3 linked regions of the Drosophila melanogaster genome follow. The main gene of each other region encodes a partner of the protein of the gene in region 3 in a complex. Each region holds a gene or a part of one and is shown on either strand. Other genes may lie near its edges.

Region 1 (7,480 bases), on a different chromosome or scaffold from region 3:
TTATTTTAGAGGCTATACGCTTTGTTCCATAAGTCTTGATCAACAGCCACAGTTTTCAAGTTACAATTGATTTTTTATGTCTTGTTTTGTGAACAATTGATTTCTAAGTGTGCTTAATTGAACGCCCACTGAAACAATTCAATATAAATGTTTGTTTATACCACTTAACGATCATTATTTCTATTTTTGTTATTACCCAAGCCAACAGTATTACTAATCCAAATTAACTGCTTCCAGGAACCCAATCCCGAGGATCCGCTCAACAAGGAGGCGGCCGACGTCCTGCAGACCAACCGCCGTCAGTTCGAGAACAATGTAAAGAAGGCGATGCGTGGTGGCTGTGTGGGCGAGACCTACTTCGAGTGCTGTCTGCTCAAGTGATATAGGGAATCGCAAGGTCTCTTACTTTAAGCCTGTCCATACACCTCCCCCTACACCCGCTAACTGAAGAAGATGAAGCAAAACACAGACGAACATCGGCGACAACAAATTATTGTAATAAACGAAAACAAAATCCACTGCGTGCAAAGAAGAAGCCGAGTCAAGTCACCAATTTCTAGTTTTTAATACAATTCATTTAGCAATTTCGCCCACCCGTCTCTTAATCATAATCGGCATACCCAATGTGGCAATCATCCAAATCCCTCACAGATGAATGCTGTGCCTGGCCATCTGCATATTTCGCCACAGGCAAAGATCAGACACAGCGGACAGTCTTCCTGCCTGGATTCGCAGATCGTATAGTCTGCTGATGAGACCCACTTTTATGTCGTCGGTGACCAAAACTTTCAGGAGCTGTTGCACCAGGCCGTTGGGCAGCAAGCGCAGGACGGGAGCGACCCTCTCACCACCGCATTCCACCAGCAGCGAAATGAACTGATAAACAAAAACGGCCTTGGGCGACAGTTCATCTCCACTGACAAACTGCAGGAACACTGCGAAAATGTGCTGCACGCTCGTCTGCAGTGGTTCTCTTAGAGTAAGCGGCGTAGTCCGCAGTTCAGATGTGGAAGTGGAGCCCAATAATGCTGCCAGGCCAGCTCCGGTCGTAGTGTCCGTAAAGTCGCTTGAGTTGTCGCTGCCATCGCCAATCACCTTGCGCACTTTGGCTGCATTGGCCGCCAGTTCCTCGTCATCGTGAGATCTCGATCGCTTCTTCATGGCCGTCAAAGCGGAAGTGCCATTTCCTTTGCGGCTCTCCAGGCAGGAAATAATACAGTAAACACAGAGGCGGGCCAGTACCAGGGATTGGGGCTCATTAATGTCCTCACTAGAAAAAAAAAAGATTGCCAAATTGTGAGTACGAGTTCTATCATAGCAGTTTCAATTTTTACATCCTTTCTTGCTAAATCGATTCGATTTGTAGATAATAAATAAATGAAATAATATACAGAAGAAAATATTGGTATTTACCCTTGTCGTCGCAGTATCAGTGGAGCCACCACGTACTGGAGCAACGCCTCAGTGGTCTTCTCAATGTCGAGATGCATTACGGCAAACACAACGTCCATGGTTCGCGACATATCCCTTGTGTACTTGCAGGCCAGCAGTTGCTCCACCAACTGCGTGGACAGCCACGCCGCGCCACCGGCTAGCAGAAGCGACTCCAACGACTGAGCGGCGCGAACGGGCAGGTGACCAGCATCGACTACTGTTCGCCACACCTCCCGAAACTGCTCGACTAGCGGGGAATGTGAAATGAGGCGGGACTTGGTACTTGGGGCAGGATGCACATCGTGTTGCATTTTTCTGATAATCTGATAGGAGAGAGCTAGTCGCTCCTTGGCATTTTCCTGGCTGGAAAGCTCTTCGCTGGTCAACGGAGCCAGGAACTGCTGAATCATGTTTAGTGGTTTCAGAAGTTCCGTTTCCTTCACCGAATACATGTAGGCGCATAGAAAACTAGTGGCGCAAACGGAAAAACTGAAAAGTCTTCTCTTAATATTGTCCAGAATACTTTTAACGTCCGCCGAGGATAGCGTTTCCTGCTCCCAAGCTATTAGCACATGATGAAGCACTCCGGGCAGATTAAGGCAAGTCTCCTGCCAACTTAAGTTGTTTGGCTTAAGTTGTGATGCCTCTGGTTTACTGAAGCTAAGCAAAAGCTCGTCGACAATACTGTCATCACAGAGGGCAAGAATTTGACGCGGATTCTTAAGCTTATTCCTTTCCACCATGCACTCACGCACCCATTTTTCAAAAAATGAGTCACCACGCTCAGATAAGACCACCTGAAGTAAAATAGAATTCATTAAAATTGCAGCGTAATAACAGGCGGGTTTACGAACATCGGATCCATAGGTCTGCACAATGCTTGTCAACATTAGGAAGGAAACATCAAACAGAGTGGACCGGATGACGCATAGCTTGCCCAGGTCGCCCGGCACCGGCTTGGAGTTCTCATTGCACTGGATCAGACGCGATACGAATGTCTTGAGGCGTCCCTCGACGGTAGCCACTGAAAGAATCAACTCGAAGCTGTTGCCCACCGGCACTTGGCAAAGGACATTAACCATGTCCTGGACCTTGTTGGTGCACAGCGTTTTTAGTACTCCGGAAAGCGGAACCTCTGCGCGCTTGATGAAGTTTATATTGGAGGGTGTCTGTTGGCCATTGTCGCATTTTTTGAGTAATTGAGAGGCGGCTTCCCTGAAAGAGTTCGTTTTAAATTATATAATTAAGATGGGTGTACAAAATGCATGATTTCTCGACTAACCTTTGACTGGCGAACTTCTTTACGTGGACATCATTGACTAGTTGTTGCTTGGTCCAGTCATTCAAAAGGAACTCGATCATATTGCATGAGCACTTAGTATCCATGAAGTCTAGCAGCAGATTGTCCTCGATGAGCAATTCCAAAGCCTCCACCAACTCGGGTATGTAATCGGCCGGTGGTGGTTGCTCCCCGGGAATCCGTTGCAGGGCGTGCAATTGCTTAATGATGTGCGGCATTTTAAAGAACATAAAGGCACCCCACATAGTGTCAGGACTTGTATCCGCAACATTGCTCAGCGTGAGGAATCCAGCACGGATGATTTCGTAGAAGAGCCGTGTATTGGAGTATTTCTTTAATCGTTGCAGCATCTGCAACTCAGCCACGTAGTAGCTGGTGTCCTTGCACGGATTGAGAAGCACTTCCACCGCCAGTAAGGGTTGCACGCAGCACGAGATCTTCTCGAGTGTTGACGGCGGATTAAGTGGTTGCATTTCAAGATGCTTGGCTTCTATAAAGGCCAACTGCTGCAATTGCTGCTCCACTTGTGGTGCATTTAGCGTAAAGTTTGAGTTCGTCAACGATCCCTTGATGGTAGCGTACTTATCCCGAATCCGTCCACATATTTCGAGCTCTTCGTGACAGCCCACGTACAGCATAGACAGCAGGAACTGCTGCTGGCTAAGCCGATCTATCACCACGCAGGTCTGGTCCAGCATGTATGATTGCTCAGCACTAATCTCACCATACAGTTCATAGTGCTGCACAGTTCTGGCGAAGATTTGAAGCAGCCAGTACACCAAGTGGACGACGGAACTCGGTAAAACCGCTTCCTCAGATTTTATTCTGGAAATAGAAATGAACAATTATTTTTACTCCTGCTTTTTAACGACTTATAAAACTAAAAGGACTTACCGGCAGGTAACGCCATCCACGATGCTGGCCAGGAATTCAAGGAGCGCTGTAATGCAATAAACGCGCTCTAATTTGTCATATTTGGCAATGCACCGAATAACAGCAGCGTGAGAAACGAGATGGGCGCACAGTGAATGCTTCAGGTAGTTAAGAACCAACTGAAAAGCATAGATTACAATTTAGAAAACAATCTAAATACTCAGATCAACTACTCACCGGATTAGCCGTGGAACCAATGAGTGCCTGCTGCATCAGACAGTCAGCCAGATTGTATACATCTCCACTGACTCCTCTCGGCAGCACCTGAAATAGTAATCAAGGGAAAGACAATAATGAAACATTTTCTTTTCCTGTCAAACTTTAACACAATATCTGGGTCACAACCCCATAAAATAAACAGAAACAGAACCACTTAAAAATCTAGTTAGGATTTCCACTTATATAGTTAGCACACATAGTTGCATATTTCGTTACGCGATAAAAAATGTTTCGTTTAAAATTATTTCGCAGTCCTGGAGACGTATTAAGCACTTTAATTAGCGGAGCTGCAACGGATTGCTGCAGGAAGACGTCACATTGTTTGGAGTTGGATCGCGCTCCCGCTGTCGCTGCCTGCTGGATCTGTATGCGGATGATCAGTCAATATCAGTTCAGGACCACGAAACCAGCCTACTATCCAGATCGCCAGCGGGAGGCGAAGCGAACGTCAGCGGGAGCCACGCCTCAACAGGTGTCATCTCCGGCTGTTAAGTACCCGCAAAGCCGAGGCATGCCCAAGGACTACTACTACAAAGTGTTAGGCGTCAACAGGCACGCCACCATCCAGCAAATCAGATCGGCTTTCTATGCGCTGGCCAAGCGCTATCATCCCGACTCGACGCACTCGGAACAAAAGCTGAAGCACTTCCAGGAGCTGTCCAACGCCTACAACATCCTAACCGACGAGACGAAGCGCTTGGAGTACGATCAGCTGGGCGGGATTAAGGATGAGCGCGCTTTTCTTGAACAGGCGGGCAATCCCCTAAATGTGGGCCTCGAGGAGGCCAAGAAGTTCGATTCGGATAAGACGACAAATGATGGTAAGCAGACGGATTTTAGATACATCAAACACCATTTCACTTTTCACTATATCACGATATGAACACGATCCTTGAATCGCCTTCTAGAGATCAACAAACTGAAGAGCAACGAGTTCGATCTGCCACTTGACTTCCTTGAGGCGACAGTGGGATGCAAGAAGCGGATAGAGCTGCGCTACTTGCGGAAATGCGAGACCTGCAAGGGCAAGTCACAATTGATGGCGCATCGGGATGTGGGCAAGGAACCCTGTCGGCGATGCAATGGAACTGGAAAGGTCATGACCAAAACGCCAACCTTCTCATCGGTGAACACATGCACGCAGTGCAAGGGCAAGCGATTCACAAATCGCAACGACTGCGAAACATGTTCGAATCGCGGCTTCGTGGTGTCCAATGTGGATGTGATGGTATCGGTGCCTTCCGGATCCCGGGACGGTGATGTGGTGAACATTATAAATCCGGAAACGAAGCAGCAGGTCACCTACCGCTTGTCGGTGCCGTCTAGCGACTATTTCCGACGCGTTGGCAATGACATTCTAACCGACAAGCACCTAAACATCTCGGAGGCCATTCTGGGCGGATCCTTTCAGATACGGGGTCTGTACGAAAGCGTGGAGCTGCGTGTGGAGCCGGGCACCCAATCCCACACCCAGGTGGTGCTCAATGGCAAGGGGGTGCGCTCCAGGGAGGGCGTGGGCAACCACATCGTCACGCTGAAGGTGCGTATACCCCGGAATCTCTCCGTAAAGCAACGCCAACTGGTTTTGGCACTGTCCCAGGCAGAGGATCCGGTTTTCGAGCCCAAGACTAAGAGCACGGAGGCGGGCAATTTGAGTCACTAAAATTCTCAATGTACCGGCCTCATTGCGTTTACAATATATTGGTAAACACGAACATTGATTGTTTGGTGTGTTGATTTGCTTGGGTTGCCTTGCCTTTTTTATGTTGATGCCCCACTGGGAGTCCGTCCAGCGCTCGCGCCACGCCACATAGATGAGTTGGAGGATCTTGTTGTTCTCCTTCATCTCTCGCGTCCGTGGAAGTAATATAACTTTTACTTTTCTCGTATTTCACGCAATTTATTTTATTTAAACCTAATATATTTTTTAGCAGCGCTCAGTGTGACCGAGGTATCTTTTATTAATCATACCAAAAGAGTACCATAATTTTCCCATCCTACAGTGTTGAAAAACACACAATCTTAAAATTTGTCGCCAATTTTAAATATTTTGAAAATTTTGTTTTTGCAACGAGGAATTTAGCCAAATAAAGGAAATAATATTAAAATATATTTTAAGACACCGAAAAGGCACCCACAAACAAATTTTAATTCAAATAATTTATTGAATACAATAAAGTAGCGTATGAGTTTCATTTGTAAACTGTTTTCATTTTAAACATTATGTTCTAAAATATTTGACTTTGTACAAAATATATTCTATTTATATATGCCGAAAATTGTTCCTCCATTGCACGCTCCGATTTTTTGAATTTCATTTCACTCATCGTGTCGCTAGCTGAATGTTAAATTTTAAATTGAATATATAATATATATATATAGGTGTGGTGTATGTGCTTAATCCGAGATATTTCGATATGATTAAACAATAGCTAGGCGAGAACTTTACATACAAATCGAGTTCGGTGGATTGTCAAGGGAAGATGCGCGAGGACTGGAAAAATAAAAAAATTAAAAACTAATTTGCAAAGGCCGTTTATTTTGTATAAAAAGCTGGCAACTCAAATATCAAAGCGAATCTGTAAATCCGTCTAAATTATTAATTAACAACTAACTTAGGAGTGTATGACAAAAGCATTTCACATTCCAATGGCAGCGCCAGGAACGGAGGCTTAAAACTAAAAAATGTTTTGGGTAGGGAGAGGCCGTACAAAGGAATATTGGCTGGTACAAAACGAGGAAGAATCATCGCTGACAACGTTAAGAGCTAAATTAAGTCTATGACCTATTTATTTACTTAAATACGCTTGACGCCACAGAGCCACCGTCGTTTATTCATCATCATTATCGCCGCCGCCAGTCGCCAAGCATCATTGTAATCACTTTAGCATCATCGTCCTTATTACTTTGAGGAGTGAGTTTCGTTTACCATCGCTGCATCTCTCATTTTTGATCATTGACCTTGTCTAAGCGGATGAGGGTCCCACGGGATCGTCACCCTTCACGGCCGACGCATAGGAGCTACTTGGTTTGTCGACACCACCGGTAACAGAAACAGCCGACTTGCCATCACCGCCACTTCCACCAGTGCCTGCTCCGGCTGCACTTGCACTGCTCGGCGGAACTCCAGCTGCTCCGCCAATGCTCACGCCACTGTTAAGGCCTAGAGTTTGAGGTGAATCAACTAGAGAATTTGTTTCGATTGTGGGTTTGGTTGGGATGTGTGTAAGTGTGAAGTGTGTGCGAGAAGCGAACAGTTAAGCACCTTTGATATCCATGGCATAGTGGTCCTCCAGCCGCAGGTCGTGCCTCTTTATTAGCTGGCACTCTGCGCCCTCGACGGTGGGAATGGAATACACGTACAAGTACCCATCCTGCGAGGCAATCAAAAGTCTACAAATACAACAGAATGAACCGTTATTTAGAACTTGAAATAGAGGCAGGGTAATCAGTTTGTAGTTCAATTTGCACGTGATTCAATTTTTGTTTTATAAACCTTTATGAAATGTACTAGGCTACTTTTGCAAAGAGCATATTAATTACATTTCAACAGAGTTCAGGGAAATTCAAACATATGAAGCCAGATAAAGTAGG
Region 2 (3,550 bases), on a different chromosome or scaffold from region 3:
TGAAAGCGACGGCTGTTGCCAAGCCCATTCAAACTGGAGTGCCACTGTATTATTCGGGAATCCGTGCACGATCATTACCATCAGCCACGGCCCTTTGCGACTGGTTTTCCTCGCGCCACCGAAATCACAACCAAGATTGTGTTGGCGTATCCGCCGTTTGGGGTTCACGGTGAAGCCCACGTAGCATTTTCCCCGGTAGCGAGGATCCAAGCTCTGACTGCATAGCAAATAGACGCCGTAGAAGTGGCCCTTCAGCGCGACGGATTCCTCCTGTTGAGAAGCTGTGTCCTGTGGGTCTGTGAATTCACCAACAGATAGATTAATGAAACTTGCTTTGTGTCTGCAACCAAAAACCAACGACAAAGGAGGCGACACCCTAACTAAAGCAATGAGATGAGGTTTTCAAGATTTTCTAAAATAAAAAAAGAAATAAAATTATTTTAGAATTTTAGTTTGGCTAAAATAGCTAAGAAAATAAGGTGTGTTAAGTGGTAGCTGTTTCTCAGCCAAAAAGGAAGATAATAAATGGAATGCAAAATAACTTGTTCCAGGTTCTTATACTATTTTATTGGTAAACTTTTAGTTGCCAGCGCTAGTTTAACTCTAGTTTTATGTTGGCCCCCGATGCCACGCCATTGATTTGCTGCTGCTGCTGGGGATTTCCAGGCTGTGCTTGGACAGGCTGTAGGGCAGAAGACGTCTGTTGACTATCCGCCGTGGAAGCTGACCCGTTCACGTTGGGGGTAGGTGCTGCTGATTCGCCTCCCGTTGCTGCCTCCATGCCGTTCGCCTGCTGTTGTTGCTGCTGAAGCTGCTGTTGTTGCTGCTGGGCGGCCGTAACGTTTTCGATCAGTTTGATGCGCTTGCGAGTGTAGTGCTGCCACTGCAGAATGGCCTGGTCGTCTATGAACTTGCAGCACTGCGAGTTGACGATCTCCCGGCGGAAGTGTTCGTACTGCAGCAGATCGAGGAAGTAGAGGCACATTGGGTACATGAGGTATTTCGCATAGTCCGGCTCCTTCCAGTACTGCAGATACTTCAGGTAGTTGATGAACGACTGGTCCTTGAAAAATCCACGCTGTGCAAGGACTGGCACAAGGCGTTGTAATTGTTTATTTAGATATACGCGCAAGATGGTGAATAAGTGAATATTAGGTAGGTCGAGGTAATATTATTCTTACAGTTTAGATAGTTGGGGTTCGACAGGCACTGCACGAACTCCAGCTCGATCTGCCAGCGTCGCTTCTGCAGCTCCTCCGACTCGATAGCAGCTACGGAAGAAATTGGAGAGCATTAGTCCCTGAGAAATTAGCACCACTTTTGGTAGATCTCTGAGGATTCGGCATGCCAAGCGGTGTCAGTAGGTGTTAGATTACAATGCGAAAATGGGTGTGGATTGGCGTGTACTTACTCTTACCCTTTCCGTACATTTTGGCCATTTTGGACTGGTCTTTGGCTTTGGAAAGGGTCTCGTTGGGTCGGTACTTGCGTCTATTCAGTTTCGGTGTCGGGTTGGGTTCTTGGTTTCTTTCAGTGTGCTATGTGGATGTTCTGAGCTGTGTGTTTTGGTGCACCATCGAATTGAAAACGAAACGTCGCGGCAAACAAAACACACAAGTAAAATTATAAATATATATGGGCTTCGCTAATGAAATAAAATGTATGGCGCGGCAGTGACTGCACAGAGCAAACGCAGGTTGTGGGCCAAAAGAAAACTCGGGAAAACAGTCGACCAGGTTTCTGGGCGCAGGCGGTGGGTTGTCGCTCCCTTTGTGTTGGTGATTTCTTGTGGGAAGGCAGTTAAATTCAGTTTTTAATATTGTCTACAAACCGTAGGAGTTCATTTGGATTGTTGATGGCCGGCGACAACCCTACTTCTGTCCCCGCCAGGGCTGCAAGCTCATCCGAATACGATTTTTTTTTCGTAAAATACTGCTTTTCCGTATATTTTACTTGGTGTGTGCTAACGGTATTCTTGAAAATGTTTCTGTGTTAAAAATTAGAATTAGGGTTGTTTTAACCAACAAAAATCTTTAATACCAGAGTAAGTTTAAACAAATCTGAGCGTATGTATCAAGAAGTACAGCGATCAATGGTATCTACAAATAATCATAATAAAACAATTAAAATTTATATTAAAATATAAAATTCCGACCAGAACATTGACAATTTTTAATTATAATATGTAATTAACAATTGTGTGTAGCCTTCAGTATTTATTTCACTACCCCTAATGTGATGCGCATTTAATTCGGTATTTTCACAAGCCTACGACGAACGCTGTGGAGAACAATGCCTGATTTTTTTGTCAGCCTGAAAAGCAGCGAGGAAAAACTTGAATTTCGTCTGTAAAACATATCTAATCGGAACCAAGCCACTGAAAAAGTCGTAGTTTAGGCTAAATAAACGAGAAATCAACGAGTGAAACTAATTTCTATCTGTGGACAGAACGCCCCCGCACCTATTTTTGTGCTGAGGAACAAGCGAAGCAGCGACGCACAATTCAGAAATGTAAGTATTAACAAAATTATGTAATTTAAGTGCATATGAAACATTATATATGTATATCCAACTATTTCCCCGATTTCGACGGGTTAATCATCATCCACAAAAAATTCATGTTGGCGAAGAATCTATTATTAGATTACAGTGTGCTCTGCTTGAATACAACTCCGAAATGTATATACATATACAGATGCATACAGATGTACACATATGTACATATGTGCATATGTATCTATACAGCACAGCACAGCTGCCGTCCAAATAGAACCAAAGATTGTTTCTTGATAGGCTTCTGAATCATTTCAATGTAATTACGAATGTAAGTCTCTTTTGTGTCCGCTTAGGCAAGCCACAGTCGCAATTTTAATTGATCGATTGGTTTGCCACACTAATTCGTACATCTAAATTCGAGATAAATAGACCATTACCTAAAACAGTATTATAGAGTGAAAAGTGTACAGTGTGTAACTGGTATAAAAAGTGATTCCGACCCTATAATGTAAATGTTTCTTCGATCCGGACCAATGGCCTGGTCGATCTGACCACGATCTACAACGCCCAAATTGGCATATAACACTGTAGTTCCATACAATTGTCATAATAGTTAAAATAGGATTATTAGAAACGTATCAAATAAATGTCTTCGCTGAGTGCTGGGTATCTCATAGTCGCGACTCTTGACTAAAGTGATCTTTACTCCTAAACATCTTCCTATATACATGTGAAATGAATCAATGTTCTTAAGTGGGAAAATTCATAGGTAATATTAAAATGTTTAGTGTTGTAACTATGACCACGGCTTTATTTACGGGGGTGCATAAGGGGTAAAGCCAACGGTTGGCTTTTCCACATAGGAACAGCTGCAGATTTATTGGTATATTTTAAAGAACTGTCTGAGCTTAGCGTTTATGGGTGTCAGCTGGCACTACCTGTCCGGGGGTCGTCCTGGCGTACCTGACTGCCTACAAAACTCATTACATTTTTGCTTTCCATTACAGTTGCAAACCGGTTTTCGGCGCAGAAACACCCACTCGATCGTCCAAGA
Region 3 (5,238 bases):
GCGCCTGAATAGTTTCTATTATACTTCGAATGATTGATGGCCGCCTATGACACGGGCAAATTGGAAACAGGTTTTCGAATGGCTCATTAATATCTACCACCTTTCTCTGCCCCTTTCGCAGATGAGCATCTCGGCGGTGGATCGCAAAGAGCCGGGCAGTGTGAGCAGCGGTCTGGGTAGGCGATACGGGCAGCTGCTCCGTGGAGCCAAGTACACAGATTGCGTGTTCCACGTGTGCGAGGAGCAAGTGAAATGCCACAAGCTCATCCTGAGCTCCGCCAGTCCCGTTTTCGAGGCAATGTTCTTTGGTCCCATGCAAAACAACGAGCCCGAGCCGGAAATCGAAATCCACGACATAAGCTCTGCCATCTTCAAGGTGCTGGTGGAGTACATCTACACGGGCGTCGTTGACTACAATGGCCTGGAGCTGGTGGCCTGCATTGAGCTGTACTACGCCGCTGAGAAGTATCTGCTGGAGGAGCTGATCGCCGACACGCTGATGGTTATCACCCGCAAGCTGCGATTTGCCAATATCTTGCCCGCTCTAGAGCTAAGTGTTTGCATGGGCCTCGACGGGTTGCTGGAGGTCTGCATGACCTTTTTCATGCGATGCTGTGTTAATAATGGACAGTATATGAGCCACCTTAAGGAGCACTATGTGCACGTGTCCAAGGAGTGTGTGAAGGCCATAATAGCGGCGTGCAAGGAACCGCACAAGTTACTCATCTGGTATGTTTATGAGTGGACACGACAGGAGTGCGAGCAGTTGGGTCTGGGTCCCAGCGATGCCGACTTAGTAGTGCACGACTTGGGTGGCAAAACAAGCGACTGGCCTGCGGCTTCGGGTGCTAGTGATTTGGAATCACCTGCCCTAACTCCGGTGGTTTTGGTGGAGCGCTGCTATTACAAGGCCTGCAGGCCCTTTACAGTGGATGCAGAAACTCCGCTGTTTCGCTTGCGTCTAAAGTGCTCTAGATTTATCTCCTTGATGGGCTTGGTCCTGAACAGCAGGCTGACTCCCAACCTATTGGGTCACGTCCAGCAGCTGGAGTACCGCGAATCGCTGCGGCTGGACCTTTGCGAGGTGCCCGCTGAAAGCGAGGGTCCGGCCACGTCGCCCGTATGGAGTCACGTTGTCCAGAGCCAGAATACCAAGTACAACTGCAACCTGCATCTTGGCTGGCGACGCGAAGAGGCCTGTGTGCTGAATCCGGAGCTGACCTATGAGCTGCAGATCCGCTGGGACAGCAGTGCTTACGGCGCCGAGTATCCGTGCAGCCTGCAGTCCTGCCAGGCGGACGGAATTCGGTTCACTGACGAGGACAGCTTCAGCGGAAGTCTCGTCAAGGGACTGCGCTATGCCAACCTGGTGTAGCCACTTCAGCCGCGATATCATAATTAGTTAGTCCGTAAGACGTGTATGTATTTATTGCCCTAAGTTAATGTACGCTGCCTCAGAGTTCAATAAACTGTGAGTAATATCGCTTCAAACACAAGACGTCTGCTGATAAATATAAAAAGCCGGTTTGCAGCCGTTTTTGTTTGGCGAACGAATCGAACTCGATCGGGGAACGGCGTCCTGGCTGCGAATACGGAAACTTATCTCACCTGTTGTTGCGGCCACTAAAAAAAAAAAATCGGTAAAACAATAAACTATAATATAATCACCAGATGTAAACAAAGCGAAATTGAACGAGGGACAGTGTGGCCAACTGGTCATAATAATTCTTGCTTAAATTGGGGCGACCGTAAAATAATTAACAGTGAGAAACTGGCTATTATTTAATAACTTAATTTTTGTTTAAATGATTAATGATTTAAAGCTGCTGCGCTGTAAAAGCTTTATTTGCTGTTCAGAATTAAAATATTAATGAGCACTATCTTAAATCTAAACATAAAAACCAAACATTTTACAGTAACAATGGAATCAAAAATGCAGTGGAAAAGCGCTAAACACCCGCGAAACAGTGCTGTAAAGTTCTTCACAGAGTAGTGTTGGCAGACGCCGGGTGCAAAACAATAATAGTCCGCTTTGGTTTTTGTTTACGCTGCAAAAATGACGATTTTGTACAAAGTGGAGGGCAAGGAGTTCAGCAAGGACAGCGTTTTTCCGCACAAGAAGGTCCTCTGCTCAGTCTCCGCACGGAACATCGTTGCGTTTAGCGCCCTCCAGAGCGCCATATTTCCGGCTTCCCACGGAGGAGATGCCGGCGATGGATCCTTGCCGGGAGCGGGTTTGGCCGTAGGCGCGAGCAACAGCCATGTGTACGTGTGCGACATCGTGACGCCGTGGGAATACTATAAGGTGTGCTCCTCCAAATCGCTTATCAGCGTCCTCCAGTGGAGTCCCAATGGGGAGCAACTGCTGCTTGGATACGTCGGCGGTCGCGTCGAGATCTGGCAGCCGAGGAACCAGTCAATTAACCTATGGGTGCTGCAGTATTACGCCACCGTGCCCAGCGAGGACATTATAGAAGCACAGTTCTTTCAGAATGGCAAAGGAGTGATCTTCAATGCGCTGAAGAAGGATCACACCTACTATGCGGAGAAGTTCGAGCGGGTGGAGCAGCAGAGGCCCACTCTCAGCGGATTTGGCGGAGTGGCCAGCGAGGGATGCGTGCTACTCACTTCCTCAGGCCTGCTGGCCGCCTTCAGTCTCCCCGCAATCCAAAAGACATCCGCCGCAGGAGCTGATGGTCCTGCCCACGAGGTCGTCGAGTTGACACCCGCGCTCCACAGCATCGGCATATCGCGCAGCTTCATCGAACACTGCAGCATGACGCCAAGTCCATCGGGAGCCCTTAATATCGCTTTCAGCTGTGGCTGGCAGCAACAGTTGGTGCAATGCTTTAAGGTCTCGCTTTCATTGGAGGGCGAACTGGGTCTGGAGCAGCACTTGGCCATCAAATCCGAGTCCCAGACCAGCATATTTCTGGGTCCTCTTGACGGGAGGCGGATCAGTCACCTAAAATGGACGCGAATAGCCAACGAGGATGTGATTTTTATAGCCTACGCTTGTCCAGATGGTGCTGGCAGCCAACTGGAGCAATGGACATTGACACGCCGTCACCAAAGTGTCCACGCCCTTCTCCAGGGTGGAGGAGGTGCCAACAACAAGCCAAATGAGTTCGTGCAATCGGAAAGCTGGGAGCAGGTGGGCAAAGTGCAACTAAATGCATCCTTGGCGGATATCAGCGTTACACGACTATCGGTATCAACGCCGGACTCTTGCCAAGTGTACGCCATTCTGCAGGACAACAGCGTCCAGGTGCTGGAGCCCAACTCGATGAAGCAGCTTAATCACACCCAGTTTGATAGGTTATCTGACGCCAGTGGAGCAGTAAAGTTCGTTAGCGGCGACTTGACACCTAGCAGCCAAATTCTCCTAATCTTTGATAGCCATGCACAACTTTACGCCATGCAGGCACCTCTGCCGAAGCAAGGAGGATCTGGTTTGCTACTTCTGGAATATTGCATCGTTACAGGTTGCGATGCCAGCGATGTGCTACTCCTTAATCTAGGCAACCTGGAGGCTCTGGTGGAGAAGCTAACCGACAACTTTACGCGGCAACCTTCCTTTGTGCGGCACTTTTATTATGCTAATTTTTTGGCCCTCAAGTCCAACATATGCCGCATGCAGCAGCAGGAGTTTGACAATCTCATTATCCTACACGCAATATCCACCACATTCAAGAGCCTCCTGCGACCGTCTGATCTGGGTTTCCAGGATAAAGGACCTGCCGATAACTTGGCCATCAAGCTGGCCGAATCCATTCCGGATGTGGACACCGTGATGCTGAACCTGGACGCCAAGGACTTTACAGTGGAGCCGGTGATGCTGCAAAGTCTACAGCAACTGATTCAGTGGGTCACCGACCTGGCACTCAACATGCTGCATCGTCTGCCCGAGGAGGTAATGAAGACCAAGCTCTCCGGAAAGCGGCCTAGCTACGATATCAGCCGAGACATCGTGGCCATCAGCAGTCTGCGCGAGCTGCTGGTTATGATCCGCATTTGGGGCCTGTTAAACACCCAGTGCCTGCCCGTCTACACCAAGACGATGGACAACATCGATGTGCTAGTGATCTTGTTTCGTTTGCTTACTCGCCTGGCCCAGAATCCTGCAGAACCGGACGAAATGCTGCTGGACGAGTGCAGCCTGCTTTCCAAGCAGCTCCTAATTCCCCAGCCCACCAAGTTCAACCCCACCACGCTGCTGAGTGCCCAAGGATTCGCGGCCGTAAAGTCGGGACAGCTGCAGTTCACCTCCATGGAGGAGCCAACTTGCTTGCAGGACATGGAGACGGAGGAGGTGGTCTTCGCCAGCTCTGTGAAGGATGGCGTGAGCAATCTCCAACTGGGCGCCCGACCCAGCCACATTCGGAGATGCGCCCGCTGCGGATTCGTGTTCGTGAATAACGCCAGCAAAGTGGCCAAGACGTCGGCCCTCAAGGCGTGGTTTAGTAAGTGGCTGCACTGCCACTGTGGGGGCTTTTGGAAGCAGGTTCACTAGTAAATCTATGTGAGCAATGACCTTAGTTATTAAGTATGATTTAAGCTTCAAATAAAAGTACATGATTGCCAGCAATTTTAGTGAAATCAAGAAATTTAATATACTAAATATATTTCTTCTTTGCACGACGTGCTCGTTCAAAAAACTTAAGCCACAGAGAAGTCACCACCATACTTCACTATTTCAAAACTAAATTTATTTGAATAAAATATATTTTTTAACTCTATCTATGAATTGTGGTTGGTGTATTTGCTAACGGTTTGATATTAACAACAACAACATATCGAAGAACTTGCATCACTAGCATGTCAATCGATATCAGGACGTCCAATGTGTCTGTCGGCTGTCGGCAATCGATATCTCCTCTGCAAATAGATATTTTCAGAATAATTGGCTTATTTCACTTCGCCCTAACGCTGCAGTAATGGTAAGTGCATCGAGGTGCAACCTGTAGTCGCCAGAAGTCGAAATTCCTAGAGAACCGAGTGCCCCAGGTCCAGGCTTAACCGAGTGCTGAGTGCCCACCCTGTCGACGTCAAAAGAGGGCTGCCTGTGGTGAGAAGCAACGCCCCCCCGGTCCAAATCCCACGTCCATGTATCCCTGGAGCTCCTCCTCGTACGGCGGCCAGATTCCCAGTGCCGCCAACGTCCGGGTAAATACTCCGCCAATCCCAGATTACGAATCTTGGATATGTGTAATCGTTAATCCACTTATCTTCAATTTG

Evidence for each region. The genes of interacting proteins can lie anywhere in the genome.
Region 1: MED16 (region 3) and MED24 share a complex: the UniProt entries of both Drosophila melanogaster proteins name them as parts of the mediator complex.
Region 2: MED16 (region 3) and MED31 share a complex: the UniProt entries of both Drosophila melanogaster proteins name them as parts of the mediator complex.

What each region holds. Positions count from the first base shown.
Region 1 is NT_037436.4:8,189,641-8,197,120, reverse strand, and holds MED24 (mediator complex subunit 24), read right to left. Parts: upstream 5,852-7,480; 5' UTR 5,733-5,851; coding exon 5,643-5,732; intron 5,600-5,642; exon of another isoform or gene 5,550-5,599; coding exon of another isoform or gene 4,795-5,549; intron 4,708-4,794; coding exon of another isoform or gene 4,113-4,707; exon of another isoform or gene 4,005-4,112; intron 3,932-4,004; coding exon 3,845-3,931; intron 3,787-3,844; coding exon 3,629-3,786; intron 3,560-3,628; coding exon 2,717-3,559; intron 2,650-2,716; coding exon 2,289-2,649; intron 2,232-2,288; coding exon 1,414-2,231; intron 1,275-1,413; exon of another isoform or gene 1,271-1,274; coding exon 646-1,270; 3' UTR 548-645; downstream 1-547. Other genes in the region: NEDD8-conjugating enzyme UbcE2M, read left to right, coding at 238-381; CG7387 (uncharacterized protein), read left to right, coding at 4,113-4,707, 4,795-5,549; Atg18a (Autophagy-related 18a), read right to left, coding at 6,853-7,070, 7,152-7,279. UniProt on the Drosophila melanogaster protein: Component of the Mediator complex, a coactivator involved in the regulated transcription of nearly all RNA polymerase II-dependent genes.
Region 2 is NT_033777.3:4,640,290-4,643,839, reverse strand, and holds MED31 (mediator complex subunit 31), read right to left. Parts: upstream 1,878-3,550; 5' UTR 1,845-1,877; coding exon of another isoform or gene 1,832-1,844; exon of another isoform or gene 1,557-1,831; 5' UTR 1,440-1,556; coding exon 1,412-1,439; intron 1,272-1,411; coding exon 1,182-1,271; intron 1,090-1,181; coding exon 593-1,089; 3' UTR 548-592; downstream 1-547. Other genes in the region: nuclease slx1, read right to left, coding at 1-296, 1,832-1,844. UniProt on the Drosophila melanogaster protein: Component of the Mediator complex, a coactivator involved in the regulated transcription of nearly all RNA polymerase II-dependent genes.
Region 3 is NT_033778.4:22,181,155-22,186,392, forward strand, and holds MED16 (mediator complex subunit 16), read left to right. Parts: upstream 1-1,983; 5' UTR 1,984-2,056; coding exon 2,057-4,513; 3' UTR 4,514-4,738; downstream 4,739-5,238. Other genes in the region: CG11275 (uncharacterized protein), read left to right, coding at 122-1,375; Vps35 (vacuolar protein sorting 35), read left to right, coding at 5,107-5,166. UniProt on the Drosophila melanogaster protein: Component of the Mediator complex, a coactivator involved in the regulated transcription of nearly all RNA polymerase II-dependent genes.